Lonchura striata: one gene and its partners. The protein of the gene in region 4 purifies or fractionates together with the protein of the main gene of each other region. This does not show direct contact. Links are inferred from orthologs where the notes say so. Each region holds a gene or a part of one and is shown on either strand. Other genes may lie near its edges.

What was found.
Region 1: the proteins of PPM1K (region 4) and BCKDHA purify together in Homo sapiens (affinity purification with mass spectrometry; 4 studies listed by BioGRID and IntAct, counting the BioPlex papers as one, with this or other methods). This does not show direct contact. The link is inferred for Lonchura striata from reciprocal best matches to the Homo sapiens genes PPM1K and BCKDHA.
Region 2: the proteins of PPM1K (region 4) and BCKDHB purify together in Homo sapiens (affinity purification with mass spectrometry; 3 studies listed by BioGRID and IntAct, counting the BioPlex papers as one, with this or other methods). This does not show direct contact. The link is inferred for Lonchura striata from reciprocal best matches to the Homo sapiens genes PPM1K and BCKDHB.
Region 3: the proteins of PPM1K (region 4) and DBT purify together in Homo sapiens (affinity purification with mass spectrometry; 4 studies listed by BioGRID and IntAct, counting the BioPlex papers as one, with this or other methods). This does not show direct contact. The link is inferred for Lonchura striata from reciprocal best matches to the Homo sapiens genes PPM1K and DBT.

Annotation. Positions count from the first base shown.
Region 1 is NC_134633.1:5,562,120-5,569,288, reverse strand, and holds the start of BCKDHA (2-oxoisovalerate dehydrogenase subunit alpha, mitochondrial), read right to left. Parts: upstream 3,001-7,169; 5' UTR 2,995-3,000; coding exon 2,923-2,994; intron 464-2,922; coding exon 311-463; exon of another isoform or gene 1-310. Other genes in the region: MARK4 (MAP/microtubule affinity-regulating kinase 4), read right to left, coding at 5,140-5,204, 5,303-5,347, 6,121-6,200. UniProt on the Homo sapiens protein: Together with BCKDHB forms the heterotetrameric E1 subunit of the mitochondrial branched-chain alpha-ketoacid dehydrogenase (BCKD) complex.
Region 2 is NC_134605.1:81,557,240-81,564,736, reverse strand, and holds the start of BCKDHB (2-oxoisovalerate dehydrogenase subunit beta, mitochondrial), read left to right. Parts: upstream 1-4,479; 5' UTR 4,480-4,583; intron 4,584-7,019; 5' UTR 7,020-7,033; coding exon 7,034-7,097; intron 7,098-7,497. UniProt on the Homo sapiens protein: Together with BCKDHA forms the heterotetrameric E1 subunit of the mitochondrial branched-chain alpha-ketoacid dehydrogenase (BCKD) complex.
Region 3 is NC_134611.1:22,888,086-22,895,005, forward strand, and holds the start of DBT (lipoamide acyltransferase component of branched-chain alpha-keto acid dehydrogenase complex, mitochondrial), read right to left. Parts: upstream 3,010-6,920; 5' UTR 2,987-3,009; coding exon of another isoform or gene 2,936-2,986; intron 670-2,935; exon of another isoform or gene 662-669; intron 1-661. Other genes in the region: RTCA (RNA 3'-terminal phosphate cyclase), read left to right, coding at 3,950-3,994, 4,093-4,193, 4,970-5,113, 5,872-5,995, 6,481-6,539. UniProt on the Homo sapiens protein: The branched-chain alpha-keto dehydrogenase complex catalyzes the overall conversion of alpha-keto acids to acyl-CoA and CO(2).
Region 4 is NC_134606.1:64,143,967-64,151,847, forward strand, and holds the start of PPM1K (protein phosphatase Mn(2+)-dependent 1K), read left to right. Parts: upstream 1-4,865; 5' UTR 4,866-4,965; intron 4,966-5,353; exon of another isoform or gene 5,354-5,575; intron 5,576-6,367; exon of another isoform or gene 6,368-6,441; intron 6,442-7,881. UniProt on the Homo sapiens protein: Serine/threonine-protein phosphatase component of macronutrients metabolism.

The DNA of each region.
Region 1 (7,169 bases), on a different chromosome or scaffold from region 4:
CCGCAGCACGTGTCCCTGCCGGTCCATGACGCGGTACACGGGCCGTGTGTGTGTGTGTGTTACACGTGTGCGTGTCCCGTGTCACGCGTGTTACCTGGGGATCCTCCGTGTCCCGCAGCACGTGTCCCTGCCGGTCCATGACGCGGTACACGGGCTGTGTGTGTGTGTGTTACACGTGTGCGTGTCCCGTGTCACGCGTGTTACCTGGGGATCCTCCGTGTCCCGCAGCACGTGTCCCTGCCGGTCCATGACGCGGTACACGGGCCGTGTGTGTGTTACACGTGTGTGTGTCCCGTGTCACGCGTGTTACCTGGGGATCCTCCGTGTCCCGCAGCACGTGTCCCTGCCGGTCCATGACGCGGTACACGGGGATCCCGGCCAGCACCTGGGGCTGGATGAACTCCAGGCGCTCCGAGAACGCGGCCGAGGCGCCCGGGAACTGCGGCCGCTCCTCGGGGGGCTCCTGGGGTCACGCGGGGGTCACGGGGTCATGCAGGGGTCACACAGGGGTCACGGGGTCACGCAGGGGTCATGGGGTCACACAGGGGTCACACAGGGGTCATGGGGACACCGAGGCGCCCGGGAACTGCGGCCGCTCCTCGGGCGGCTCCTGGGGTCACACAGGGGTCACGGGGTCATGCAGGGGTCACACAGGGGTCACGGGGTCACACAGGGGTCACGGGGTCACACAGGGGTCACAGGGTCGCACAGGGGTCACACAGGGGTCACAGGGTCGCACAGGGGTCATGGGGACACACGGGGGTCACAGGGTCACGCGGGGGTCACGGGGTCACACAGGGGCCACGGGGACACCGAGGCGCCCGGGAACTGAGGCCGCTCCTCGGGGGGCTCCTGGGGTCACACAGGGGTCACACGGGGTCACACAGGGGTCACGGGGTCACACAGGGGTCAGGGGGTCACACAGGGGTCAGGGGGTCACACAGGGGTCGTGGGGACACCGAGGCGCCCGGGAACTGCGGCCGCTCCTCGGGGGGCTCCTGGGGTCACACAGGGGTCACGGGGTCACGCGGGGGTCACGGGGTCACGCAGGGGTCATGGGGTCACACAGGGGTCAGGGGGTCACACGGGGGTCACGGGGTCACACAGGGGTCACGGGGTCATGCAGGGGTCACAGGGTCACACGGGGGTCACGGGGTCACACAGGGGTCACGCAGGGGTCACACAGTGGTCCCCTCATTATCCCCTCCCTTTCCCCCCTTTTTGTCCTTTTTTTCCCCATTTTGGCCCATTTTGTCCCTTTTTTCTCCCTTTTTGTCCCTTTTTCCCCTTTTTGTCCCTTTCTGTCCCCATTTGTCCCTTTTTGTCCCTTTTTTCCCCTTCTTTCCCCCTTTCCCCCCTTTTTGTCCCTTTTTGTCCTTTTTTTCCCCATTTTGGCCCATTTTGTCCCTTTTTTCTCCCTTTTTGTCCCTTTTTTCTCCCTTTTTGTCCCTTTTTTCCCCTTCTTTCCCCATTTTCCCGCCTTTTTTCCCCTTTTTGTCCCAGTTTATCCTGGTTTTTCCCAGTTTTTTCCCATTTTTGTCCCTTTTTTCCCCCTTTTGTCCCGGTTTGTCCCCGTTTGTCCCTTTTTGCCCCTTTTTTTCCCTTTTTTCCCCTCTTTGACCCTTTTTGCCTCAGTTTATCCTGTTTTATTCTGTTTTGTCCCGTTTTTTTCCCCATTTCCCCCCTTTTTTCCCCCGTTTTGCCCCGTTTTCTCCCCTTTTCTCCCAGTTTACCCCGTTTTATCCCAGTTTTATCCTCTTTTGTCCCGTTTTTTCCCTGTTTTTCCCCTTTTTGTCCCAGTTTATCCCGTTTTATCCCGGTTTAATCCCATTTTTTCCTGGTTTATCCCAGTTTATCCCAGTTTTATCCCATTTTATCCCATTTAACCCCTTTTTTCTCCCGTTTTCTCCTGGTTTATCCCGGTTTACCCCGTTTTATCCCACTTTTCTCCCATTTTCTCCCATTTTTATCCCGTTTTCTCCCATTTCCCCCCCGTTTCCCCCCGTATTCCCCCATTTTTACCCATTTCCCCCCCGTTTTCCCCCGTTTTATCCCAGTTTTTCCCCATTTTTCCCCGTTTTTCCCCATTTCCCCCTGTTTCCCCCCGTATTCCCCCGTTTTTCCCCAGTTTTCTCCCGTTTTCTCCCGTTTCTATCCTGTTTTATCCCAGTTTTCCCCCGTTTTCTCCCATTTTCTCCCGTTTTTATCCCGTTTTATCCCAGTCTTATCCCGTTTTCTCCCCTTTTCTCCCGTTTTTATCCCGTTTTAACCCAGTTTTATCCCGTTTTCTCCCGTTTTTCCCCAGTTTTCTCCCGTTTTCCCCCGTTTTTTCCCGTTTTATCCCGTTTTATCCCAGTTTTCCCCCGTTTTCTCCCGTTTTTATCCCGTTTTATCCCAGTTTTCCCCCATTTTCTCCCGTTTTTATCCCGTTTTATCCCAGTTTTCCCCCATTTTCTCCCGTTTTTATCCCGTTTTATCCCGTTTTATCCCGTTTTTATCCCGTTTTAACCCAGTTTTATCCCGTTTTTATCCCGTTTTATCCCAGTTTTCCCCCGTTTTCCCCCGTTTTCTCCCGTTTCTATCCCGTTTTCTCCCGTTTTCTCCCGTTTCTATCCCGTTTTATCCCAGTTTTATCCCGTTTCTATCCCGTTTTCATCCCGTTTTCCCCCAGTTTTATCCCGTTTTCTCCCGTTTCTATCCCGTTTTCTCCCGTTTCTATCCCGTTTCTATCCCGTTTTCTCCCGTTTTATCCCGTTTCTATCCCGTTTTTATCCCGTTTTCTCCCGTTTTCTCCCGTTTTTATCCCGTTTTATCCCGTTTTCTCCCGTTTTATCCCGTTTTCTCCCGTTTTCTCCCGTTTTCCCCCGTTTTCCCCCGTTTTCCCCCGTTTTCCCCGTTTTTTCCCCAGTTTCCCGCGCTCACCGCCGTGCTCCGGAGCCGCCTCGGTTCGAGCCCCGGGAGGCGCCGCCACCGCAGCGCCCTCAGCGCCGCCATCTTGTCCCGCTGCGAGGGGGCGTGGCCTCGCGCTGATTGGTCCATCCAGGGGGCGGGAGGCGTTGGCCACGCCCCCCGACCGCCTTATAAGGAAGGCGTGGCCACGCCCACCGCGCGCCGCTCCGCGTTGGCCACGCCCACAAATCGCCATATAAGGAACCTGAGGGTGGCCACGCCCCTTGATTTACATAAAATGGGAACCTGGTTGGCCACGCCCACTAATTACCATATATGGTGGTGGTGGTGGCCACGCCCCTTGAGCGACATCGGGGAGGGGTCTCGTTCTGACCCGTCCCCAAATTCCCCCCAAACCCCCCCCAAATTCCCCAAATTCCCCCCAAATTTCCCCAAACCCCCCCACCCCAAACCCCCCTCCAAATTCCCCCAAATCCTCCCCAAATCCCCCCACCCCAAATCCCCCCACCCCAAATTCCCCAAATCCCCCTCCCCAAATTTCCCAAACCCCCCCCAAATCCCCCAAATCCCCCCCAAAATATGGACCCCAAGTTCCCCAAATCCCCCTCCTCAAATTCCCCAAATCCCCCCAAAATATGAACCCCAAATCCCCCTCCCCAAATCCCCCTCCCCAAATCCCCCCCCGAAAATGTGGACCCCAAATCCCCCCCCCCCAATTCCTCAAATCCCCCTCCCAAATTCCCCAAATCTCCCCCAAATCCCCCCCAAATTTGGACCCCCCCAGACAGTGACACTGGGGGGGTTTTTGGGGGTCCCGAGGTTTATTTGGGGGGGTCGGGGGGGTCGGGGCACAGCTCGGGGCAGGAATAACTTAAAAACGGGGGAGGGGTCCTGGGGGGAGGGGCCGGGGGGCGGGGCCTATTTACAGACTGTACACGGGGGGGGAGGGGCTGCGCTTTGGGGTGGGGGTCCCCAAAATCTTGGCACCGGACCCCCAAAATCCCCCCCCCAACGGGGACAGGGGGGTCCCAGCGCCGCTGGGCCCCGAATCTTGGGGGGGGGGTCCCGGGGCTGCCGAATCCTTGGGGGGCTCCTGGGGGGACCCCCGGGCAGCTTTTGGGGGTCCCGGGGGGGTCCCGATGCGGTTTTGGGGGTCCCGGGTCTCGTTTTGGGGGTCCCGGGGGTCCCAAACCAATTCTGGGGGTCCCAATCCAGTTCCGGGGGTCCCGGAGGGGTCCCAATGCGGTTTTGGGGGCCCCGGGTCTCATTTTGGGGGTCCCAGGGGGGTCCCAGTCCAGTTCTGGGGGTCCCAGTCTGGTTCTGGGGGGTCCCAGTTCGGTTCTGGGGGTCCCAGTTCGGTTCTGGGGGTCCCAGTCCGGTTCTGGGGGGTCCCAGTCTGGTTCTGGGGGTCCCAGGGGGGTCCCGGTCTCATCCGGGTGGTCCCGGTCTCGTTCTGGGGGTTCTGGGGGGTCCCGATCCTATTCCAGGGGTCCCAATCCAGTTCCGGGGTTTCCCAGGGGGAGGTCCCGGTCTCATTTTGGGGGTCCCAATCCAATTCTGGGGGTCCTGATCCAGTCCTGGGGTTCCCAATCCAGTTCCGGGGTTTCCCGGGGGGGTCCCAGTCTCGTTTTGGGGGTCCCGATCCCATTCCGGGATTCTCGATCCGGTTCCAGGGTTTCCCGGGGGGGTCCCGATCCAGTCCCGGGGGTCCCGATCCGGTTCCGGGGGTCCCAGGGGGGGTTCAAGTCCCATTTTGGGGGTCCCGGTCTCGTTTTGGGGGTCCCGATCCAGTCCCGGGGGTCCCGATCCATTCCGGGGGTCCCAATCCAGTTCCAGGGTTTCCCGGGGGAGTCCCAGTCTCGTTTTGGGGGTCCTGATCCAATTCCAGGAGTCCCAATCCAGGTCCGGGGGTCCCGGGTGGGGTCCCAGTCCCCTTTTGGGGGTCCCAATCCCATTCCGGGGGTCCCGATCCTGTTCTGGGGGTCCCGATCCCATTCCAGGGGTCCCGATCCAGTTCCGGGATTCCCGATCCGGTTCTGGGGTTTCCCGGGGGGGTCCTGATCCCATTCCGGGGATCCCGATCCAGTTCCGGGGGTCCCGATCCCATTCTGCGGGTCCCGATCCGGTTCCGCGGGTCCCAATCCGGTTCCGGGCTTTCCCGGGGCCGTTGCCCCGCCCCCCCCCCCCAGGCTGGGGGAGGGGCGGCTGCCGGGGGTGGGGGAGGGGCGGTCACAGCCCCCCCCCCTCGGCGCAGCCGGGGGGCGGCTTCCGCTTGATCCCCAGGTAGATGGCGACTGCGGGGGGACAGGTGAGGCCGGGGGTCCCGGGGGGTCCCGGGGGGTCCCGGGGGGGTCCCGGGGGGGGAGGGGAGGGGGGGAGGGGCAGCACCCACCTTGTGAGCGCAGGTCCCCCGATTCCCGCAGGTTCGTCTGCGACCCTGGCCCCCCAAAAAACCCCTCGGATGGCCCCAAAATTCCGTCCCAATCCCCAAAAATCCCATCCCGAAAAACCCCTCGGATGTCCCAAAAAATCCCATCCCAACCCCAACAAAATCCCATCTCGAAAACCCCTCGGATGGCCCCAAAATCCCATCCCGAAAATCCCATCCCAACCCCAAAAACATCCCATCCCAATAATCCCAAAAATCCCATCCCAAAAATCCTTTGGATGGCCCCAAAATCCCATCCCGAAAATCCCTCAGATGTCCCAAAAAATCCCATCCCAACCCCAAAAATCCCATCCCAAAAATCCCTCAGATGTCCCAAAAAATCCCATCCCAAAAATCTCTCCTTTGGCCCCAAAAAAATCCCTCGGATTCCCCAAAATCCCGTCCCAAAAATCCCTCGGATGTCCCAAAAATCCCATCCCAACCCCAAAAATCCCATCCCGAAAATCCCCAGGTGTGCCCAGGTGCCCCCAGGTGTGCCCAGATGTCCCCCAAGGTGTGCCCCGGTGTATTTTGGGTGCCCCCAGGTGTGCCCAGGTGAGTTTTGGGTGCCCCCAGCTGTGCCCAGGTGAGTTTTGGGTGCCCCCAGGTGTGCCCAGGTGTACTTTGGGTGCCCCCAGGTGTGCCCAGGTGAGTTTTGGGGGTGCCCAGGTGTATTTTGGGTGCCCCCAGGTGTGCCCAGGTGTATTTTGGGTGCCCCCAGGTGTGCCAGCTGTGCCCAGGTGAGTTTTGGGTGCCCCCAGGTGTGCCCAGGTGCCACTCACGGATCTTGGCAGCGCCGGGGCCGGGCGTGGCCGAGACGCAGCGATTGGAGCTCTGGCGGCGGGAGGGGTCCAGGGACACCCTGGCGGGTGGGACAGGTGAGACACAGGTGAGATATGGACAGGTGACCCCCCAGGTGTGTGTGTGACTCCCCCCAAAAGTGTGTGTGACCCCCAGGTGTGTGTGACCCCCAGGTGTGTGTGACCCCCCGGGTGTGTGTGACCCCCCAGGTGTGTGTGTGACCCCCCAGGTGTGTGTGTGACCCCCCCCCCAGGTGTGTGTGTGACCCCCAGGTGTGTGTGACCCCCAGGTGTGTGTGACCCCCCGGGTGTGTGTGACCCCCCGGGTGTGTGTGACCCCCAGGTGTGTGTCTGACCCCCCAGGTGTGTCTGACCCCCCAGGTGTGTCTGACCCCCCAGGTGTGTGTGACCCCCCAGGTGTGTTACCTGTCCCCAGCTGTGTTACCTGCCCAGGTGTGTGTGTGACCTCCAGGTGTGTCCTCAGGTGTGTTACCTGCCCAGGTGCGCTCACCTGCGCACCAGCTTGGAGGTGATCTGAACCCCCCAGGTGTGTGTGACCCCCCAGGTGTGTCCCCAGGTGTGTTACCTGCCCAGGTGTGTAACCCCCCAGGTGTGTCTGACCCCCCAGGTGTGTTACCTGTACCCAGGTGTGTCTGACCCCCCAGGTGTGTCTGACCCCCCAGGTGTGTCACCTGCCCAGGTGTGTGTGTGACCCCCAGGTGTGTCTGACCCCCCAGGTGTGTTACCTGCCCAGGTGTGTGTGTGACCCCCAGGTGTGTTACCTGCCCAGGTGTGTGTGTGACCCCCAGGTGTGTCTGACCCCCCAGGTGTGTTACCTGCCCAGGTGTGTGTGTGACCCCCAGGTGTGTTACCTGCCCAGGTGTGTGTGTGACCCCCAGGTGTGTCTGACCCCCCAGGTGTGTTACCTGCCCAGGTGTGTGTGTGACCCCCAGGTGTGTTACCTGCCCAGGTGTGTGTGTGACCCCCCAGGTGTGTTACCTGTACCCAGGTGTGTCAGCTGCCCAGGTGTG
Region 2 (7,497 bases), on a different chromosome or scaffold from region 4:
CAGGTATTTCTAGATTAAGCTAGTAGAAAAAAAGAGTTAAATATGATCTGCAGTTTCAACTTAAAACTGATTGAATTAAGCAAAGTGGGACTCTCATCCTGTAATTATGAAACACTGATATGTCATATAAAGAAAGCTGAACAATGTCTCTATGGATAGACACCGCAGTTTCCAGCCTTGATTCATTTAATGTTATGAATTACTCACGCAATTTAAAATAGGACTGTCTTCAAATTAAGTGTGCAGTATTTAAAAATCTAAAAAGCAATTGGTGATGTAACACACAGTTACTAGTCTAGACTGAGTGGGAAGCTCTGTCTTACCACAGAGGTGGGTCATACAGCAGAAGAAACGGGATGATTTCTGACCTTACAAGAAAATGAGTGCAAAACTACGCCATAAAGGCTTCTTTTCCTTTCCCCCCCCCTGCTCTTTGCCAGACTACAACTTGTCTGGTTCCAGACAGATTGCCCTGACCTGCTTTTTATTAAAGTGTAAAATAATTATTGGCGTTTATGCTACATTATTGGCATTTATGCTACCTAAGATGAAACCATTTATTTCTAAGTCCTGTTGATCAAAACCATTACTGCTCTGGTCTTGTTTAGTTTGTCTTACTCATTCTTAGGGGTAAGACAACCCTTTCTGTTCCCACATTTAATCTGTACAGGACTGACAATAAAACCAGCCAGGCCAAATGGTAAAACTCTTTTTCACATATCCAAGAAAGAAATGCCTGTCCCTAATCAACAAAAAACCCCATTTGTCTGAGGGAGGAGGGACGGGAGAAAACAGCTTCAAAGTATCAGCACAGAAAGAGAAGGACAAAGCAGACAATAATTAGGGTAGAAGGAAGACAGAAGACAGCAAACAAAACATGAAAATAGCTGTAGTGCCAAGACCTAGGATTAATGTGACAAGAGTGCTCACTAGCAGTTCCTATAAGAGGGGGTAAAACATCTAATCAGCTGTTGGGGTGGAAACATGCAACAAGATTCCTTCCATGAACCACAGAGCAGGGAGGAAAACTTACAGCAACACTATAACATGTCAGACAGAAGTGACAAGAAAACAGCTATGCTTGAAGGAATGCAACAGAAATTGCCTGGATGCTTCATCACCTATAAAAACATAATTTAAAGTAACACCTACTAGGAAATGTGATGAGTTTAAGGTTCAGCTGCAAGCTATGTAAAAATTTTGAGAGATTTTGAAACAGAATAGTAGACTTGGAGCCATATGTTTATGTCCAAATCCAATATTGCAGTTTGCTCACAGTTAGATCCATGTCAATCAGAGGCAACAACATGAACTTCAAGGGAGTTACATCTGATTGATGCTGGCATAAATATGGGCATAATCTGGTCTGGGACAGTAGGGTCTGCAATCATCAGATCCTCATTAATTGCTCTGTATGATTATTCACAAATAATAGTAATCCCTGCCAGAGTTTTTTAATGGCTGTCAACAATACTAAGGATGTGCAAAATGACTAATACACACAGATGGGGAATGTAGTTGATTTCAGCTCTTAATGTCTGCTGTACAGATTTAACAGAAGTGGCCCCAAGTGACTGAACAACTTCCAAAAGAGAAAAATGTATTCAAAATGTAATTGAAGTTGCTGGAATATCTAAGCATATATCAGGAACAACATGGATATAATTATTACCCCATCAGAGCTGGAAAGACATAAATGCTGGGACTAAACTCCACTAAAACATTGTTCAGCCAGTGTACATTTGGATAAACCTCTTTGATTGGCCCGTTAAAAAAGATTTATTTATTTATTTATTTATTTATTTATTTATATTACCAGTGCAAATATCCAAGGCCATGTGGACAAACCATTTTTTGTACTCAAAAGGCAACAACAATGCAGGTGTTAGTATCTATTTCCAGATATTTTTTTTCCCTTTCACCTATGAGGTGAACATCTTACTGCAGATATTTCTTCTTTCCACTGTTCCATCATAAATGCTGTAACTTCCTGTGTAAGATACTGGGCCACATGAGCATACTTTTCCTTTTCAAATTCCATGTATCACCAGGTATAGGAGACAAGAGTCCCAGCATGGCATCTACTAACTGTACATAAGCAGAATATACCTTACAGTTTATAGTATGAGTTTAGCAATTCACAGTAAGTGATACATTAGTAATAGATGTCAGACTCACATGTAAAATAATTCCTTTCTATACTATTGCTCTCCATTTTTAAGTTTTGCAGATCTTGCCACAATGATGTGAAATATAGCTAAATTCCTCCTACTCAGATACATTGTTTTCTGAAAGAAACACAAATATTTGAATAGTAAACGTGGATATTTTCCACTATTAGCAATACATATTACATGATTATGTATCACTTGGTGGTTATTATATTATTATGTTTTCCAGGTCCTAAACTTTATCAAACATCTATGTATTGCCTTCAGTTGAAGTTGGAAGCAACCTCAACTTTTGACATTTATACTCCTTGTTCATTGCAAAGATGGCATTCTATTGTTCGTTAAAATTCTCACCCCCTTTAGAAATTTAGATAGTGTCTTGTTTCCCTGGGATGTACTGGGATATGTTCAAACTTTGATCCCATGACCAATCACTCAAAATTTGAATGCTTTTTCAGCAGTCTCTAAGGATAAAGGGTGTGGTGAAGAGCAAGTAGATGGTCTCCTCAGTTAGCAGGAAGAGTAAGCCTTTTATTTTGCACAAATCTTAATGATTAAGAAATTCTAAATCAACATGAGAAAATATGTTTTCACAAAATACATAATGAAGCAATAGTCTTCAATGAAATTGAACTGTGGTCATTACAGGAATATTCAGTAATGGCTTGGAACTCAGATAGGAAAAAAAATCTAATCATCACAGCTATACATATTTTATGTTAGACAGGAAATCTATCATTCCAGTGTTTAAACTAGGCCCTGTTCATACAGGGTTACATATGAGCCCTCTCACTTGCAAGAGGTGATGCCATTTATATGTAATTCTAATTTCTAGCCTTTTTCTTTGAGGCACAGTACTGAGTTAGAGTTCTTGGAGCAAAGTAAAAAATGCTAGCCAGTATGGTTTGCCTTACAGATAATATCAAAACAGACAGGGAAGAACAACTTAAACAACTTAAAACAACTTGTCACATGCATTGGAGGCTGCATGACAGGGCTTGATGAAGAGGCATGCACAGGGACAAGATGTGAAACACTGACAAAAGGGAAAGGGGGAAAGGATTGACCTGGAGACAGCTGAAATGCAACAAGGATGGGTAAACAGAGGAAGAAATGGAGGCTGCAAAAGTAGACCAAGTAGACCAAGAAGATTCACCTGGATGATGGAAGTAATGTGAGGTTGTCATACTTTGATGAGGAGAACATTAGAAAGAATGTTTTTATAAAACCTGACAAAGAAAATATGTGCATATGAAAGATCATAATTTCAATAAAATAATGTACCAAAGGTCTGAGCAAGAGTGTTTCAAAGAAAAGCCCTCAGAAAAAATTAAGTTAAAGCAAGGCAGACTGAAAGCCAGGATGGACAGTCAAGAGAGATTTTGAGAGACAGAGTGGAACAGGTAATATCTGCAGGTCTGTGAATTCCTTTCACCCTTCTGGGGCAGCTGCTGGGGTAGAATTTGAGGATTTCAGATATTTATGAAGGGAGCCTAGAAGAAAGATAGAGAGTTTTACAAGGACATGTAGTGACAGGAAAAGGGAGAATGGATTCAAACTGGAAGAATACAGATTTAGATTGGATATTTGGTGAATAATTCTTTACTGCAAGAATGGTGAGGCATTGGAAAAGGTTGCCCAGAGAAGCTGTGGATACTCCATCCCTGAAAGTGTTCAAGGCCAGGTCGGATGGGCTCTGAGCAACCTTGCCTACTGAAAGGTGTCCCTGCCACTGGCAAGTCTGCTGGAACCAGATAATCTCTGAGGTCCCTTCCAACCCAAACCAGTCTGCGATTTGTCGACTCTGGGGTGGTGACACGACAACCCCTGCAGTGGAAGAAAAGAGAAAAGTTTAAGGGGAGAGGGGAAGCCTTTGGTTTCAGCTGCGACGGTGACAGTACCTAGGCAAAGCCTCCTGTGGCTGTGCCTATGACTGCGGCTATGGCTGTGGCTGTGGCTGTGCTTGTGGCCGTGGCTCGTGGCTGTCCCTGTCCCTGTAGCTGTGGGGGCGCACGGCAGCAGCGCGCTCCCGCCCTCAAGGCGCGCTCCCGCCCTCAAGGCGCGCTCCCGCCTCCCGCGCGCCCCGCGCTCACCCGCACGCGCCCCAGGCCGCGCGCCCCCCGCGCAGGCGGGAACCCTCCCTCCCTCCCGCTCCTCCACCCACTGCGGAGCCGCCGCTGATTGGTCCGTGCCCCGGCGGCGCTGGCCAATGGGGGGCCGGCCCGGGACCCCGCCTCGTTAGTAGGCGCTGGCGGCGCCGGGCCGGCATGGCAGCGATGGCGGCGGCGGGGCGGGCGCTGCGCGCGGCGCTCCCCGCCGGGCTCTGGGGCCGCCCGGCCCCGCTGCCGGGCGCGCCCCGCCGCACCGCCGCGCACTTCGCTTTCCAGCCAGACCCGGCGCCCAGAGAGTACGGTGAGAGCGCGGCTGGCCGGGGTCCACCCCGCGGGCCGGTCTCAACCTCTCTCTGCCGCCGGGTCCGCCCTGTCGCCGTGCCTCCTTAGGCGGGGCCGCCAGCAGCCCGGTCCGGGATGGCAGCGGGCAGGCAGGGCCCGCCGGGGGCCCGCCGGGGCGCTGCGGGCCGGCCCCGGGCGGCGCAGGCATCCGCACGGTCGCGTGACCCCGCTGCGTCCTCGGCACTCCCAGCCGGGGGTTTTCCGCAGGAATCCTGGGCTGTGGGTGGGAATGCCCTTGTGGGCCGCTGGTGGGGCCGCAGGCCGCCTCGGCGGTGGGGTGGCGAAGTGTTTTGGGCTGTCAGAGCCAGAGCTGCGGTAGGTGGGCCCATCGTGTGCTCAAACCTGCACGGCCATCCTCGGCCCCTGTCCTCTACCAGGAGCTTCTAGAAGTAACTTACTGACTTGACATCTGTCCTGGTTTTTGTGTTGCATGCTTAGGTCATGAGTGTGATAACAAACCTATGATGAATAAAGACTGCTGTCTGCTGAAAGATTGGAGGTCATCCTCGTGGTCACATGGTTGAGACTAAACACAGATAACTTGGAAATGAGCAGCGCATGGTGTTTGACTTTTATTTTTGGGATGTGTCCCTCCAAATGGCTAGTGCCAAGTTCTGAAAGAAGCCTGCTGGCTGCAGAACAGCTGCTTCTATCACGTAAACCTGAACCTAACTATCCTCTAGAAACCTTGTTACTTGGTTGGATACCTTGTTGTTGCATCTTGATCATGATTAACAGAAACAGAGTTTCTGCTAATGATAAAGATATACCAAGGTCCCACATAGTGAAGCTTGTGTATGGCAGGTCCCTGCTTGAGGTCATGCGAAGAAGCTCTGGGGTGGCATGCCATTAATTAGTAGAAAGTTAATTCCCTGTGACTTAAAATACACTTCAAAATTCTGTGGAAAAGCAGTGGAAGTGAAATAAAATTATAGCAATACTGCTCCTGATATTGTTGAGATATTGCTTTTCCAACTTCATAGGTCAAATCTAAAAGATACAATTAGTTCCCCCTTTCCTCTGTGGGGTTTATATGAAGGCCTGTGTTATAAGCAAGAGAAGCAGGTTAGAACTATCGTAATACCCATTTATTTATATACAATACTGGAAGGATGTTATCTTGTAGAAAAGATAAACTAAGTACTAATGTGGATGGATGGCTAGGGAAAGAGGGAAACAGCTGCCATTCCCGAGCTTTTATTCTCTTTTTGTAAGTTTTGTTCATTAGGGCTTTTGTATAACCGGAACAGTTCTCATAACATTTTCTTTTCAGTATTTTCCTCTCCTTGAAGGGCCATGTAAAGTATAACAAGTCAAGTTACCAAGCACAGGAATGTGTAGGAATGCAGCTGCTCAGATGTAGCATGGCACTAGTCTTCAACAAAAAAATACTAACATTAATTAATGATTTAGAAGAAAGGGAAGCTGAATGTTTGTTGAGAGGTACTGTAACTACTGGGAAAAGGATGTAGTTCACCTTTCTGAATTCTAACACCTATTAGTTCATGTGGGATCTTCATCTAATTATCTTATTTATTTATTTAGCACACTGTGTGTGCTGGAGGTGGCATTCTCCTGGACTGTAGATTCTAGTCATGACTTAAGAGATTTTTCCAGTTAAAGAGCTACCAAATTAAAGAGCAGCCAAGCAATTTCTTACTTGGTTTCTTTTAAGAATTATTTTATTTGCTTGGAGAATCTGAATTGGTCATTGTAGTGAGGACTAGGCTACTGTTTTGGTCCATCTTTGCTTTCAGGTCTCCTTGTTTTTCACAAAAGTGCAGGAAGGAAGAAGGGCATTCTGGTAGCATTGTTCTAAATTAAACAACTTACTTTGCTTCAGCACGAAGTTTCTTTCTTTGAAGTATGAATTTGAAACTTCAGACACTTACTAACTGCAGTGCAGAGAGCAGGCCAGTGGTCTTGAAATTTTCTGATAATAATAGATGTCTGTAAATGGGAAAGGCTGGAGCTTAAAAAATGTGATTAAAGAATGATAAAGTAAACGTCAGTGAATTTTCTGGGGGGGAGGGAAGATCCCAGTCCTCAAAATGGTGATATGTTGGTTTCTTCTTTTGAAAAGGAAGACATTCTTCCCAGTGCTTGACTGAGCTTTGCAAAGCTTCATTTGCTGTAGGCAAGAGCATAGATTTTTGAAAAAAAAAAAAAAAAAAAAAAATTGGAAGTGGAATTATAGTCCTTGGGAAGGCCAAGTATACAATGCTCAATCCCATCTATCCTATAATTTAAGTTTATTCAACAAATGAATCTTGGGTATTCCTAACAGGAATCTTGTTTTTGATGGTTAAATTTTTAGACATGTTTGCACCAGTGTTTTCTAATGTACTTCATGTTTTGAACCAAATTAAATTGCGGAATGATCACTTTCACACAGGGCAAACTCAGAAGATGAATCTCTTCCAGTCCATAACAAGTGCCTTGGACAATGCTTTAGCCAAAGATCCAACTGCAGGTACTTTATACTTGTTAGTGTATTTTGTTTTATATAAATTGTGTTTTGGTTTGCCTATCTGTGTACAATATTTAATGTATTTCTCATGCCCTGTAAAGTTTGCTAATAAGTTATTACTTCACTTTGATCTCAAATCTTAAAAATGTGTTGCATTAACAGATTACTAATGGATTATATGGTCTAAAATGTAGTTGTATCTTCTGTATTAGCTCTGTGTATTTCACTTGAAGGTGAGGACAGAAGATACATTCTTTAACATGTTTAAAGTATTACTGAGGAGAACTGTCCTTGAGGGCAGCTCGAGTCCCACTAGTAGGAGTTTTAAAAATGTAAACATTACTTTTACATTTCTTAAACTTTCTGTTCCCTAAAACTGGTACGTTTTTAGAGACCATATATT
Region 3 (6,920 bases), on a different chromosome or scaffold from region 4:
TTGTTTAAAAAAATCCTTTCAGTAATTACAGAGTATATGAAATTTCTTGTTTCCCTCCCCACACCCCAAACTGTTCAACTATTTGCTATCATTTTTCATTATTTAAAAAGTACATTATTCAGCAGGCCATACAATTCTGAACTGACAATGTACTCATTTTCTGTATTATTTAACCCAGCACTGCAAGTTATATCCAATATCCCCTTTCTTTAAGAAACAAATCTTTATACAACACAGTCTATCATGGTGGACACAACAAAGTTATATAATTTGAATTACCTTTCAGTTGCCTGCCACTAAGATGGTACTTACTGATCTAGTATGAGTATTTTTCTCATTCCCATAACAAGCAAATAGAAAATCTTTTCATTGGTCCTCCAAACAACTTTCCATATTCAACAACCTAGTAACATGGCAATTTTACAAAAAATTGTACTTTAGGAATATGTTTAAAGTTTACATTTAATTACAAAACTGGCATACAGTGTACATCTTCACAATCTTATTTTTCTTCTATTTTTAATTCTGGGCTTCTTCCCAGTTGAAGGTTACATTTTAATGTTTACTGAAAAAACTGTTCAACTAGACGTTTTTGTCACAAACTTGCAAAAACTCTCTTTTCTCTTTATATGACCCTAAATGAAAAACATTCAGTATTTACCTGTGAAGATGATCACAAGGAGCACATCAAATCTCTGAACTATTTCTAAATGTGAAGTTTCACAATGATTTCCATGTGATTTTTAACCTTTGGTTACCAATGCAGGTAGTAAATTAGTAATGTCACTGCCAAAAAAAGAGACTTGGTGTTGTTATTAAAGAGTTACCATGCTGTTTTATATTATATTTGAAGGAATAATTAAAAACTATTGCATTTTTTAAAACAATATCTTTCTGGTTTTCAGTTTTGCACATTCTCTACCAAAAAGCTGATGTGCTAGTATGTTAAACTAATAATACAGGACACAATCTTCTCACAGAGCAGTGTTCCTTACCAACAAGGAAAAAATTATAATCCATTAAACAAAGAGACTGTGCTTACAATTTCAGCATTTAATCACCATAATACTGGTGTAATGCCAAACAAAGAAATAAAAATGGCACATAAAAGACAAAATTAGCTCTAATATCCATAGTATACCCATCTAAATATTTTGATGTTTGGAAAAATCTATCAGTAAACCCCAAACATAAATGCTATACTAAGCTTGTTAACCTGGCTATTGTTAGACTAAACAGCAACTTAAAGGCAATACTGCCACAGCAAGGCAACAGCTTTCCTGTGCACGTCTCCAGTGTGTAGAGTGACTCTGGCATAAAGGAGCTGAGGTCCCAGTCAAACCCTCGCTGGGACTGAGGCCACACCAGCCTGGCTGACAGAGCCGTGCTCTGACCCCAGCCAAGGGGGAGCTGAGGGCACTCAGGGGGACAACTGCCTTCCCTCTCAGGTTCAGCTTTGTTTCCTTAAAAACAAGCCAACTCCGGTTTTCTAAATTACCACTGATCCTGTATGTTGGCCTCAGACCAAAGTATTTTTAAGCAGCCTGAAGAGAACTGATTAACTGAGGGAGTAACACTAAATTTCCAAGTAAAATTGAACAGTTCATGGTCACAGGCAATAACTTTGCATTAAAGGATATTGCCCTGCTGAACTCTCTTGACTTCTGTCCCACTGAGTCATTTTAATGAACATTTTCTCACATTGGATGTGTTTTGCATACATATTCTATATTTCCAAGTATATAGTTACCTATATACTAAAGCAACATCCCTGGTAATGTGTTTTAATCTGATGCCATCCCTCATCTAAATACCTGGCACATGTCCCAGTGTCCAGGTACCTGCCATTTCCCTACCACTTCAAACAAAGGCCTCTGGCTCAGATTCAAAATGTGCTTGCAGGAAACACACACTACAAACCAGCCAATTCTACAGTTCAGCATGCACATAGATAAGATGAGTGTTTTCATCTTATCAGAATCTCTCTCCAGATTTAAGAGTAGAAGGTTAGAAATACAATTTAAAAGAAAATGCTAATTTCAGTGCTCTTAATTAGTAAAATTATTTATAAATACTTATAAGTTACTGGATGTAAACTGCCTTACAAAAGTATAATTTAAAACTTCCTCAGCATTATGCTTTAAAATTACAATATGAATTAGTAAGAGAAAAACATACTAGAAACTGGAACTGATCCTTAATTTTGCCTCTAAATGTCAAAAATTATTTCTTTTCTAACATCCTACAAAATAGGGGTGACATAATAGGAAACCAATGCTCTTCACAATAGCAAGAAGACTGTAATGCAAGACAGAAGAAAGCATGAACGAAGTCTACGGCCATGAAATTGTAAGTATCTCAAAAAGGCAACCAAGAAGATTCACTTCTTATGGTAAAGAATCTCAAGTACTTTTCAAGTATCAAGGCTCCTGGGATTCAAAGAAACACGTTTTCCTTTTTTGTACGTGTATCCACACCGTCTCCGTACAGATGCGGTATGCAAAGGGAGCTGATGCGTGGGCGGAGAAGCGGTGATGGCAGAGCAACGCTTAGGCAAAGCAATAACGGGATGACTTAGAAATAACAGAAGAGGAGGATGTCACTGTCATATTACAGAAAGGCACAAGTTTCTTTCACAGGGAGCACGGGCAGCGCGGGGGGAGAGGGTGCCACTTCGGGGTGCCTGTGGAGCGCGGGGCACAGCCGGGGACTCGGGCACCGCGGGGAGCGCACAGCGGGGACGGAGCTCAGTCGCTGCCCGGCCCCGCACACTGCCGAGGCGACAGGTCCGCCAGCGCGCCGCGTTTGCAGAGGCGCGGTGCGCGCCGTGTGCCCGCCGGCAGGAACAGGGCTCGGGGATGCCAAGAGTTATCTCTCCCTCCCCGGCCGGCCGCGGGAGGAGCGCCGCCGCCCGCGGGGTCCCCGCTCCCCTTACCAGGCGCCCCGCGGCTCGGCAGCTGCTCCTCAGCGCGGTCACGGCCGCCATCTTACCCCGGGCAGAGCGGCCCCGCACACACCCCCGGCACAGCCAACCCGCGGCGGCCGCGCCGCCTCGGCCAACCAGGAGCGCGCGGCGGCGCTCGGGGCCCACACACGCCCACGGGAGGGACCGCGCCCTGCGCGGGGCTCCCGGGCCCGAGCCGCGGGTGCCGGTCCCGGGAAGGGCAGCGCCGAGAGCCCGGCCTTTCCCCATACACGTGTAATAAAGTGCTGCGTGCGCCTGCCAGACCTACACGCCCGTGTCTGTGGTTCTGCGCGAAAGGTGATTGTAGCCAGCTTGGGGTCCCAGGTGACAAGCGGCAGGGCATAGTCTTAAGATTCACCAGGGAAAGTTTACGTTGAACAGTAGGAAGACTGTCTTCACACAGAAAGGGTGATTAGACATCGGAACGGGCTGCCCAGGAAGCTGGCGGTTATACCAACCCTAGAGGTGTTTAAGGAAAAGACTGGACGTGGTAATTAGTGCCATGGTCTGACTGGCATGGTGGTAGACTTGATAATCTCAGAAGTTTTTTACAACCTAATTCATTCTGTGATTCTGAGGAAATTAGCTCATAACGAGCAGGGCAGCTCTCCTCCGCGGCAGCGCTGTACCCATGGCTCTGATGTCCCAGGTGCCGCGGTTGTTACGGCTCCGGCCCTGAGGACAAGGGAAAGGCATTGCCTCCTGCGGTCAGTACCGCGGGGATAACGGAGGCACTCCTGCCCCTGCCTGAGCGCCGGGCCCGCCGGCTGCTCCTCCCCGCGGCGGGCGGGCAGGGCGGCGCCTCCGCTCCGCGCCTGCCCGGCACCGCCGCCCGCCCCCCGCGCCCGTACCGCAGCATCCCGGGCCCGCCGCCGTCAAGCGCTCCTGGCCCCGCGGCTGCTTCGCCGAGGGCTCGCCGTGGTTAGGGCCCCGCCGGGATCCCATCGGCGCGGCCTCTGCGAGAGACGCCGCTCCTCGCCAGCTATGGACGGGGACAGGGTGGAGATAGACGGCGGGATCATGGAGGGGGTGAGCGCCAGCGGGCCGCGGCTTACCTGGCCCCGGTCAGCTGTACGGGCTGGCCGGGAGGTGCCGTAGCGCCTGACGAGCGCCGTTTGTCCGTGCAGGGCGGGCAGATCCTGCGGGTGTCCACGGCGCTGAGCTGCCTGCTGGGGCTGCCGCTGCGGGTGCGCCGGATCCGCGCCGGGCGGAGCCAGCCCGGCCTCAGGTGAGACCCTCCGGCGGTCCCGGGGCGCTCCGCCGGTCACTGCGGCGTGTGGGCCCTCCGGGGCTGGGCCACGGCCGCGCAAGGCCTCGGCTGCTCTCGTCTGAAACATTTGCGCTTCCATTGCTCTAAAAGAGCCTTTGTACTGGGAAATGCCGTCTGTGGCCCACAAGGAGTGAGGGGGAACGCTGCGGCATGGTGCCCTCAGCGCGGGGCCCGCGCTGCCTCGGAGATGGTTCCGCCGGTGAAACAGGCAACACACTCACGTAATGCCTGAGCAAAACACGGCTTACCGAGCGTACAGTGTTAACAGCAGTTAGTGCTTATCCTAGTGCTGCTACGCTTCGTGTATTTCCAGTGTTAAGACCAGTTGGTGTATTTCCTGTTTAAATTACACGAACAAATGGTAACAAGCACAAGGCAAGTACATAGCAAACCTGTTAATTCTCTTGTAGCACTGCAACTGGTTCTGGCTCAGCCAGTATTGCCATCATTTCCCACTGCATTTCTGTCTGAGCATTCATAGCACAGATAGCTCTCTTGGGTCTATTCTAGTGGAAAGGATACCAGAATCCTGCATATCCCAGTATGGCCTGAATGCTGCTCCTTTGGCGCCTGTGAGCTCAGAAGTACTGTAGCAACCAGAGTGAATTTCTGATCCTTGTCTGATCCAAAATTTGGAGTCGTAGTTTTTCAGTTGGTGTTTAGTGGTTGTTTCAGTGTAACATGAGGATGTAGTCTACTTGTATGTGTCTTTAACTGTGTATTGTCATTCTAAGACCTCAGCATCTGTCTGGATTGGAGATCATACGAGATTTGTGTGATGGGAAGCTGAATGGTGGAGAGATTGGCTCAACAGAAATAACCTTCACTCCTGGGAAGATCAAAGGTGGAACTCACATAGCAGATACAAAAACAGCAGGGTATGTCTTTGTACACCAGCTTCTGATAATTTTAAAATTATCATAATAGATGGGGGGGAGGTGGAAAGAAGATTTATGCTTTGGTAATGACCCAAGATATGTGCTGCCTGAGCCAGATTTATGTGACCAAACAACCTGTAGTATAGGCAGGATATGCATGAAGTACACGTGAAGTTTAAAAGTACGATTTATATAAAATCTGAATGCTTGATTCATGTTATGAAGAAAGCAGCTGCCCATGTCTTTAAAACTTCAGATGTAAATTCCTCACATTAGTGTGTTACATACCAGACCAAATGCATTAAATTAGATAAGTATCTCACATGCATGAGGTCTGAAATAATTGCCATATAATAAGGTAAATTTTGACATTCTACTTAGATTCATAGTAGCACAGTATGCCATATTGGTCTTTTGGAAATGGGAACATATTCCATTGATTTATTAAAACGTTTTCTGCTACCTAAACACAGTTTTCTTGGTCCCATCACTATACTAAGGAAGATACATAACTTTATTTCAAACAGAAATATTAAAGATGCAATTATTGTGAAATGAAAACTTTCATATTTATGCTTGCTAAGGACATGAAGTTTTAAAGTAGTATCTTTTAAGACTAATAAGTTTATAGATAATTTAAAAAATAAAATACAAAAGTAAATGTTCTAGAGAGTCATTTGCCTTTGATATATAATGATTCTATGCAATTTTGTGGATTAATAGAGTATGGCATTTGAGTATCTTATAATTGTTTTTAGGAGTGTGTGCCTACTGATGCAGGTAGCAATGCCCTGTGTGCTGTTTGCTGCCTCCCCATCAGAGCTTCATTTAAAAGGTGGGACTAATGCGGAGATGGCTCCTCAGATAGACTACACAGTCATGGTAGGGAGAAATTCCTTTGCCTTGGTGCATCTTCCCTGAATATGTATGCAATGTAACTGCTGTTCTCTGTTGCTCTTACTGCAAGTCTATTTGTGATTATGCAATTAGGCATGGAATATAACACTATTAGTGTACTGGATGTAGAGAGACACCAGTGATTCATGGAATTTCTGAAATGGCAAATAGTCTCTTTAGTTTTAATTTACTGCAGAAAATTTCACTTAAAATGTATTCTTTTTTCTAGAAGTGCTGTGAATAACTCTTCTTTTTTTCCATAAGAAAATCCTTTTACACAAAGTTATATTGAGAATAAAGTATGAGGAATGTCAAATAAGCTATATGGATAAGACTGGCTATCTTTTTTTTATTTTAATAATGCAACTGAAATTTTTGTGTTGAGCTATTTTTTTTCTTCTAAGAATTCATTAAGTAGTGGAAAATTATCAATGCAAAAATAAATTAATTCTTATATGTTTCTTTTTCAGGTTTTCAAGCCAATAGTTGAAAAGTTCAATTTCACATTTAATTGTGATATAAAAAGGAGGTGAGTTGTGGAGCCATGCAGCAGAGCTGGGCCTTTACTGAACTTGTGTGTGAGCAGAGGCACACACAAGGGGCTCTCAATCAAACTGAGGGGTGAATTTATAATACATGAACTAATCTGCATTAGCTGCCCCTGTGTGTACTGTCACCATATGACAAATGGGATAGGATTCTTTGCTGTCTTTTTTTTCATTGCTGAGTCTACAGCTGCTGTGTAATGTTTCCTGTTGGCTCCCCTGAGGGGAGGGCATGCTGAACAGGCAGTGCATTACTGAGCTTTTTCCAAGGAGCCAGTTAGGTTGGGGTTAGAAAGTTAATAAGATGTGAATTACAGAGGATTATTGTTAAAGAGCCTAATTCCATTATAAGGGTTTCTAAGGCA
Region 4 (7,881 bases):
TGCCACGGAAACCACTTAAAAGCCTGCTTTAAAATATTTGCTGCATATTCAAAAGCCACAATAATTTCCTGCTGTCGAATTACAACAGCTCTTCAAAAATCATTAGGAATATTCTTTAATCATCAAGGCAGAAATAATCACGTGGTTCTTCTCAGCAGGCAGATGACTGAATTCTGATCTGGAATATTATCTTTGTAAAACTGAAGCTATGATACTGAAACAAAATCAGCTGTGCTGCTGTGCAACCATCCCCAAAATCAGATCTTTCGATTGCATATTCCTAACACTAAGTTACCATCCACGGCATCCTCATATTTTGAAGTATCACAACTTCTAACTTATGATACTTCTAATAGAATCATACAATAATTTAGGGTGGAAAAATTCAAGGAGAAATTCAATTTACACAGCTAACATACTGTAATTGGAGAATGACAAAGGCACAATGTGAAGGGCTAGGAACATTCTGTTCTAACTCACTTTTCCCTGCATTTAAGAAAGCATATTCTTCACTAGGGGCACAAAAAGCTCAGCCAAACCTTTTTTTTTTTTTTTTTTTCTGTTTCCAAATAAACTGCTTGAATACTCCAAAGCCATTTGAAGTCAGGATAAACAATTCAACCATTTTCTTTTACTTTAGAAAACTCAGTGTACTGGGTTAGTTAACTTTCTTGTAGTAGCCCTCAGTAGTGCTGTGGTTTGTATTTGTAGCTTGAGTGGTGTTGAAAACACAAGAGTGGTTTGGCTACTGCCGAGCAGTGCTGGCACTGCTCGCTGAGGAGGGGCCGTGCTATGGTTTCACTAGGTGGCTGCTCGGGGTGCACCCACCACACCTGGGATCACGAAGGGATGAAAGCTGACTTCAGTTTTAATGACAACACCAAATCCCCTAGGTATGCTCTTGATCTGACCTTCCCAGCACAGTATTTAGATACAGGAGTTTATTTTCCATCTTCACCAGGACAGAAGCAAGCCATGTCATCTGAATTGAGAGGAATCCTGTGGGAACAGATGTACATCTGACTCCCGCCTTCCCTGCAAGTGAGAACTGGTTCAAAGACTGCAGTTTGATCTGGGCAGTCCTGGCAATGTGCTTAAGCTACACCACAGCCCTTCTGTTTCAGAACGCCTTCTGTCACTGTGTAAACCACGAGTCCCAAATGAAATAGAAACTTATTGAGTAGGATAACCAGAGGAAACAAGATTGCCATATGTCAAAGTCTGAGCACAGGAGGTTTGTCACATCACCCATAAAAGTATAGAGCATGAGCTTGGGAATTAAATGTTGCATGTAATTTGAGCAGTGTCAAAACCAATACTTTTATTCATTATTTCTAAACAGAATGCTTATTAGCTTGCTCAGTCATGTTTCAGTGTTAACACTGTAAGTATTTATGCAAGGGCAATACCTGGCAAGAGTGCCAAAAAGCACATTTCTCTGGAAGAAAAAAGCTGCATTTTACCCACACCCTGAGGACTATGTGCAGCCCTTGTCAGCAGGGAGAAGCATGGCTGCTCCACCAGGGCTGGGGATAAGGGGGATGCTGAGGCAGGCAGGGACCTCCTTGACAGCTCCATAGTACCTAAGGAGAACCAGGCCAGCTGGGGACAGCAACAGGGGTCAGCTGCAGTTCAAGCCTGACCTTAGAGACTAGCCAGGTTCAAGGTCAAGACAAAGGATCCATCAGCCAGGGAAGCACAGGATCAGTGAGGTACAAGGCCAGGCATGGGCACACCCACAGCATGGCTAAGGCAAGGGCCTGAACTTAAATTTGATTCCCAGTCCAAGGAAAAAACATCCTCAGTGAGCTGCAGCTCTTATCACCAATGTCCACACTGAGAGCTGGACTATCCAGAGCTATCCATGAGCACAGGCAGTCAAATGGCCATGGCAAGGGTGACACAGTAGCTCACCTGATTTTGAAGGGCTGCCTTTGAAAAGTGCTGTGAGAAATTACAGCTGTTGCCAGTTATTTGAATATTAGTGTTAAAATAATGGCCACTTCACCACAGCCACAGGGTGTTTTCTGGTCTCTTCTGACCTGCCAGAAGACCCAGATTATACAGACAATTAGCCAGGAGTGTACCATAAGGAAGAATTCTTCACTTATAGGGATAGAAAGCATGGTGTAAGAGTAAATTTTCCAACCTTTTAACATCAGGTGCTGATGAGAGCATAGTGTTCAGAATCAGTTTGCCCTGAATTTACAGCTTGGTCTGAGATATTATCCATGGAGATTAAAATGGACATTTATTTTGCCCCCACCAGAATTCCAGCTGCTGTTTATTCAGTTGCATTGCTGGGCAGAACAGCACATAGACAACCAGCCTGCCCCTGCCCCCAGGAGTTTGGTTTGTTTTCCAGTCACAGAAGACAGTCCCAGATGAAGGGTTTAGAATTTAAAGATGGAAACATGCAGGAAAGATGAATGAAAAAGGGAAGAGGCAGCAGGAGAGAAATAATAATGGAAAAAATATGTGCAAATCATTAATAAACTTCAATTAAAAGGAGAAAAAATAAAGTAGACTAGAAGGCAAAGGAGGGAAAGGTCAGGAACTTGACGAAGTAGCAAAAACAGAGGCAGTAGGACAGAAGAGAGAGAGAACATTGCAGGAACAGAAATTCCTTGTTAGGGGAGCTGGAATCTAGGAATACTTAACTCATCCTTTAGGGGGAAAAAACTTATGAGGGGAAAGTCCAAATTACTGTTTCCAGTCAAAACTAAATATTGCATAGTAGAAGTTCCTGCCTTTCCTGTTCCTGAATTTTTTTGCCTCCTGTCCTCCTAGTGTTATCAGAGGCCCCTCAAAGCACCAAACGCTGCACTGCAGCCCATCATCCCTGCCCTGTGCCTTGACCTGTTCCTCTTGTCTTCGAGCCTTCTGCCTTCTCACAAAGCTATTCTTATGCTTGCTGCCTCATTTTTTCCTGCTGCCTCTCCAGATGCCTCCCACTTGCCTTCCAAAGCCTTTTAAAGATAAGAGCAGTTCTACTGCACATCAGGGCTCACCATGAAGCATTTATCATTTCCATGCTGGCCTTTCACTGCCAATTCAATGGGGCAGAAATTGTCTCCCAGCACTCGTGCCTCCATATGATGTAGGACCCTGACACTTCTGAGAAGATCCCACTGGCGCTGCTCTGTAAATAGCAATACCTGTTTTACAGATAATATGCTGGTTTTGTTCTCAGTAATTCACTGTGCTAGCTTGGCTACCCCTGTATGAATCCTTTGTGCTCAGAACTGCTGCTCTTGCCCAATGCCAGAAGAGTTGGCAGGAGAGCTTTGTTTTTCCTGTCTCACTGAGGACAAAGGGGAACCAGAGAACAACCTGCAGTGACAGATGACACCGTTGCTATCCCCAAAAGATTCCCCCAAATTCCATTCTAAGTGCCGAGTGGGACACCACACATCTGGAAACCAGAATGATCTGGCACGTGCTGCCATGTTCACCTAACCCCTTCTTCTACAAATAGAGTGGTACAGTGAGAGGTCTGAGAGGTATTATTGCTGCTTTTCTGGCCAGGTTTTGCAGCAACCAAAAACCTCACCCCAACAAAACAAAAGTTTATTTACCTCAAAAATTTATAGGACAAACTTGACAGCGACCTCCTTAAGCTCCTGTGGAAATTGTGTTGGCTCTCACTTTTCTCTCATGCGTCTATTTTCGAGTACTCTGGTCTCCAGCAGACAGCACAGGTGTCAGCATGTTTCAAAGGCTTTTGTAATCAGAGCCATCTGATTTCCCAAATTGCATCATAGGTCAGAGACTGGCAGTAGCACAGCATGGAGCAAATGATCCCTTTAAAATCCTGATCGGACATGGATCAGCGTGAGGAGGTGGCAGGGCTCTGCTCATGGAAACAGCTGCTTCGAAGCAGTGCACACAATTGTGCTTTAAATCTTTCAGATATTTGTTGCATAAGGGCATCACTGCTGTTTCCAGAAGCCTCTTGGGCAGCGGCTGCAGGCACAGCCTGGCTGTCCTGGCCCTCGGGCTTCCAGCTGCCGAATCCAGCCTGGAAGTAGGCGGTAGCCAGGTGGAGGTCGGGCTCTTCTCCCGGACGACCAGCGTCGGGACGAGAGGACACGGCTTAGACCGGCACAGGGTTAGGCTGGACCAGTGCAGGACCGGGAGTGGGTCTCTCCAACTCAGTAAATTCCGTGATTCTGTGAAGTTAGGGGAAATTTCTTCCAAAAAGGGTGATTAGACATCGGAAGGGGCTGCCCAGGGAGGTGATGGAGTCACCCTCTCTGGATGTGTTTAAGGAAAGACTGCAGGTGGTTGGACTCAATGACCCCCGCGGTCTTTTCCACCCCAAGCGATTCTGTGAAACCAGGGGCTGTGCAGGGTCACCGCGGCCACAGCCGCTGCCACGCGCCTGCCCCTGGCCCGGCCCCAGGCTCGTGTGAGGGGCGCGCCGGGGGCGGCGGGGGAGGCTCGGCCGGCGCGGCCGCCGCCGCCGGGGCCGATTGGCCGGGCGGGCCGGGCGGGCGGGGCCGATTGGCCGGGCGGGCCGGGCGGGCGGGGCCGATTGGCCGGGCGGGCCGGGCGGGCGGGGCCGATTGGCCGGGCGGGCCGGGCGGGCGGGGCCGATTGGCCGGGCGGGCCGGGCGGGCGGGGCCGATTGGCCGGGCGGGCCGGGCGGGCGGGGCCGATTGGCCGGGCGGGCCGGGCGGGCGGGGCCGATTGGCCGGGCGGGCCGGGCGGGCGGGGCCGATTGGCCGGGCGGGCCGGGCGGGCGGGGCCGATTGGCCGGGCGGGCCGGGCGGGCGGGGCCGATTGGCCGGGCGGGCCGGGCGGGCGGGGCCGATTGGCCGGGCGGGCCGGGCGGGCGGGGCCGATTGGCCGGGCGGGCCGGGCGGGCGGGGCCGATTGGCCGGGCGGGCCGGGCTGCAGCCTCGGCCGGGGGGCGCCGCTCTCGCTCAGCTGAGGCGCTGCCGCCGCCGGGCGCGGGAGGAGGTAAGGGCCGCCTGCATGGGCCGGGGGAGGGTGAGGGGCCGCGCCCGCAAGCGTCTCCTTTTGCCCCTTCCGCTCGCACCGCTCTCCTTTCTCCTTCAGCCGCGGCAGGGCAGGGAATGTCAGGGAGCGGGGCTGGGCAGGATTGGCGTTCCGCCGGCGCTGCCGCCGCATGCCGCAGTTTTGATATCGCACGGAATAAACGCGGCCTGAGGTAATTCGTGATACGCAAACTGCAGCAGAGACGTCTTTAAATTGCTGCTGTCTGTGTGCAGTTTGCTGTCCAGGCAGGGAGGCGAGACCAGATTGTTACGGATTTAAAAAAAAAAAAAAAACAACAAAAAACACACAAAAACCACAAAAACAACCAAACAACAAAACAGCAACACACCTGCTTTATGGCGAGCTTAACAGCCAGAGCCGTGCGGTCCTGCCCACATCCGTGAGGTTGGGGAGGCACGCGAGGCAAGTGCGCTCGGACTCGTGCATTCCTTTTCACGTACGTCGGATCCCCTGGGGCAGCAGGCATGCCTGCGCTTTCTTCCGGGCGTCCTTTTCTTCCCCTTTCCTTCTGGCAGCCTGGAAAATTTCCATCTCCCGAGCAGCAGCGAGCCTGTAAAACTACAATTTTAATCACCTCATCCCGCTTCAAGTGCTGTCTTTCCCTGCCTGTCTGTAGGAACTGTTTCCCTCCAAGAGAACGTGTACAGATGAACAGGATCAGATTGTGAAAAACGCCGATCACTTGGTTTTTAAAATTTTAAAAGTTTAATAGTAAAATGGTTATAAAAATAATAATACAATTAGAGTAATAACGTTTAGAGTTAGGACAATTACAAGACAATAAAAAGCAAAGAATTACAGATGTCCGGATACTCTTGGACACAAAGTCAGGAAAAGCATGACTTGTGAACAAAGGACTCACCCTTAAACCAATACACTTGTTGCATATTCATACATCCTTCATGGTTATGCATACATTCTATTCTAAACAAAGAACTCTGTTGTATGTCAACTGTTTCCTTTAATCCCCTGGCATCTTCGAGTCTAAGCAAGGCCTGAAGAAATTAGCTTCTTCTGATAAGAAGCCATAAATTCCTATCCTTTGGAAATTTAGGTGTTCTTTGAAGCGAATATCTCATTCCTAAAACGAAAACTCCCCCCACATACATAGTCTCTATTTTAACATTATTTTGTAACCTAAAACTACACTTAATGCAATACCTAAGAGAATTAATACAGCATAACTTTCTAACATTACACATATAATATTCATTGTAAAATTTGCGAAAAGCCAATCATAAATATGCATTTATCACAAGAAGGAGCACCTCAAAGCACATTTCTATCTCGAACTGTCCATCTTGGACTTTGTCTCTAACAGCGGTACCCCCCTTTTCATTACCTCAGTCTTGTTTTGCCCAGATGGGTCTGCCCAGTCTTTGCAGACGTACCAGCTGGGAAAGTACAGACTGTTGTGTGTCCAGAGCTGTTTATATAACAAACTAAAGAGCAGGTTTCTACTTCTGATTTGCAGAGACGCTTGGAAGGCAAAACTATCATCACTATTTTTACTTGCCTGGTGAGAGTTGAATTTGATAGGGAACAAATGCATTAATTAGCTTATGAGTTTGGATTGATCCTCTGATTCATGCTGTGGATACTGGGTAATCTAAATATAGTGAGCATTTCATGTTCTCTTCTCAAGCTGACAGAAGTGAAGGCGAGTGTGGGTTTTGCTAATTGACAGGCTTTTAGTTTGGTCCTACTGTGTTTCACAGAAGGAAGTTAACCTGCTGCTGTTACGAGTCAAGGATAGCATGAAAGAAAAAGCAGTTCCAGGAAGTAAAGCAGGTTTTAAATGCCTGTAAGTATGCTAAAATAAGGGTGTGATATTGCAATCACCCTAAGTAAAATGGAAAATCTAAAGATCTCAAATAGTTCCATATTCAGCTGGTGCAACAGTGATTTCCAGAACATTCAGCCTTTTATCAAGTCAACAGTTAACCTCTAAGGGCTAAGTAAAGAAACCTTTCTTTTTTTCATGCAACCTAAGAATTGCATGAAAGGTAAACCCACAGCATCTGAAGCAACACACTTTGAGCTGGGAACAACATGTTTATTGAAGGCCTTCCAAAAGCTCTGTCACTGCCATTTTCTACTAAAGCAACCCTTTACTAATTCACCTTTGATTGCATGTTTTTTGTGAGTACACAGATTTTTTATCTAGCAACTTAAAAACGTAGTTTTAACAAATATTTCAGATCTAGAGATGCAGTTGTGATTGGCCTGGGCAGAGGACAACAGCAAGGCACTCCAGCCCAGAATTAAAGTGTCTCTGGAGTACAAGTGTTGCTCTTTGCTGTCCAATTATGTCAGATCACCCTGCTGTCTTTTTTAAAACTATTATTATAATTATTTTTCATTCACCATAAGCCTGGGTATATTTAGATCTGTGGTTATGTCATATAATACTTCTCACTCATCATTTTGCCCTTAGCAAACTTTGAGTAATTAAGTTAGAAATTCCTCACTGGGTTTATATCTTTAGTGTGGTTAGTTACAATGATCTGTGTGGTCCAGTTCAAGTACTCCATTGCGACATGTAATTATTACAAATTGCATCCTTGGACTTCGGTGAAGTTGGGTGTTGCTCTAGAAAAGATCAATAATCCAACCTTTCTATGCTTTTCACCATGCTAGGTGAGTCATCATTAGCAAATTTTTGTCTGTGCTGAGCCAAGTGGTGTGTATGAATTTATCTGGACTGGAAAAGAGATCTGAGAAGCCAGTAGATCTTGTCTGCCTGTGTTAGCCCATTTCAGGGTTAGGTGGCAAAGAACTTCAAGCCAGATGAAACAGCAAATAGCTGCATGGGTTTTTTGAGGGGGAAGTTTGTGTGTACAGTTGTGAATGTAC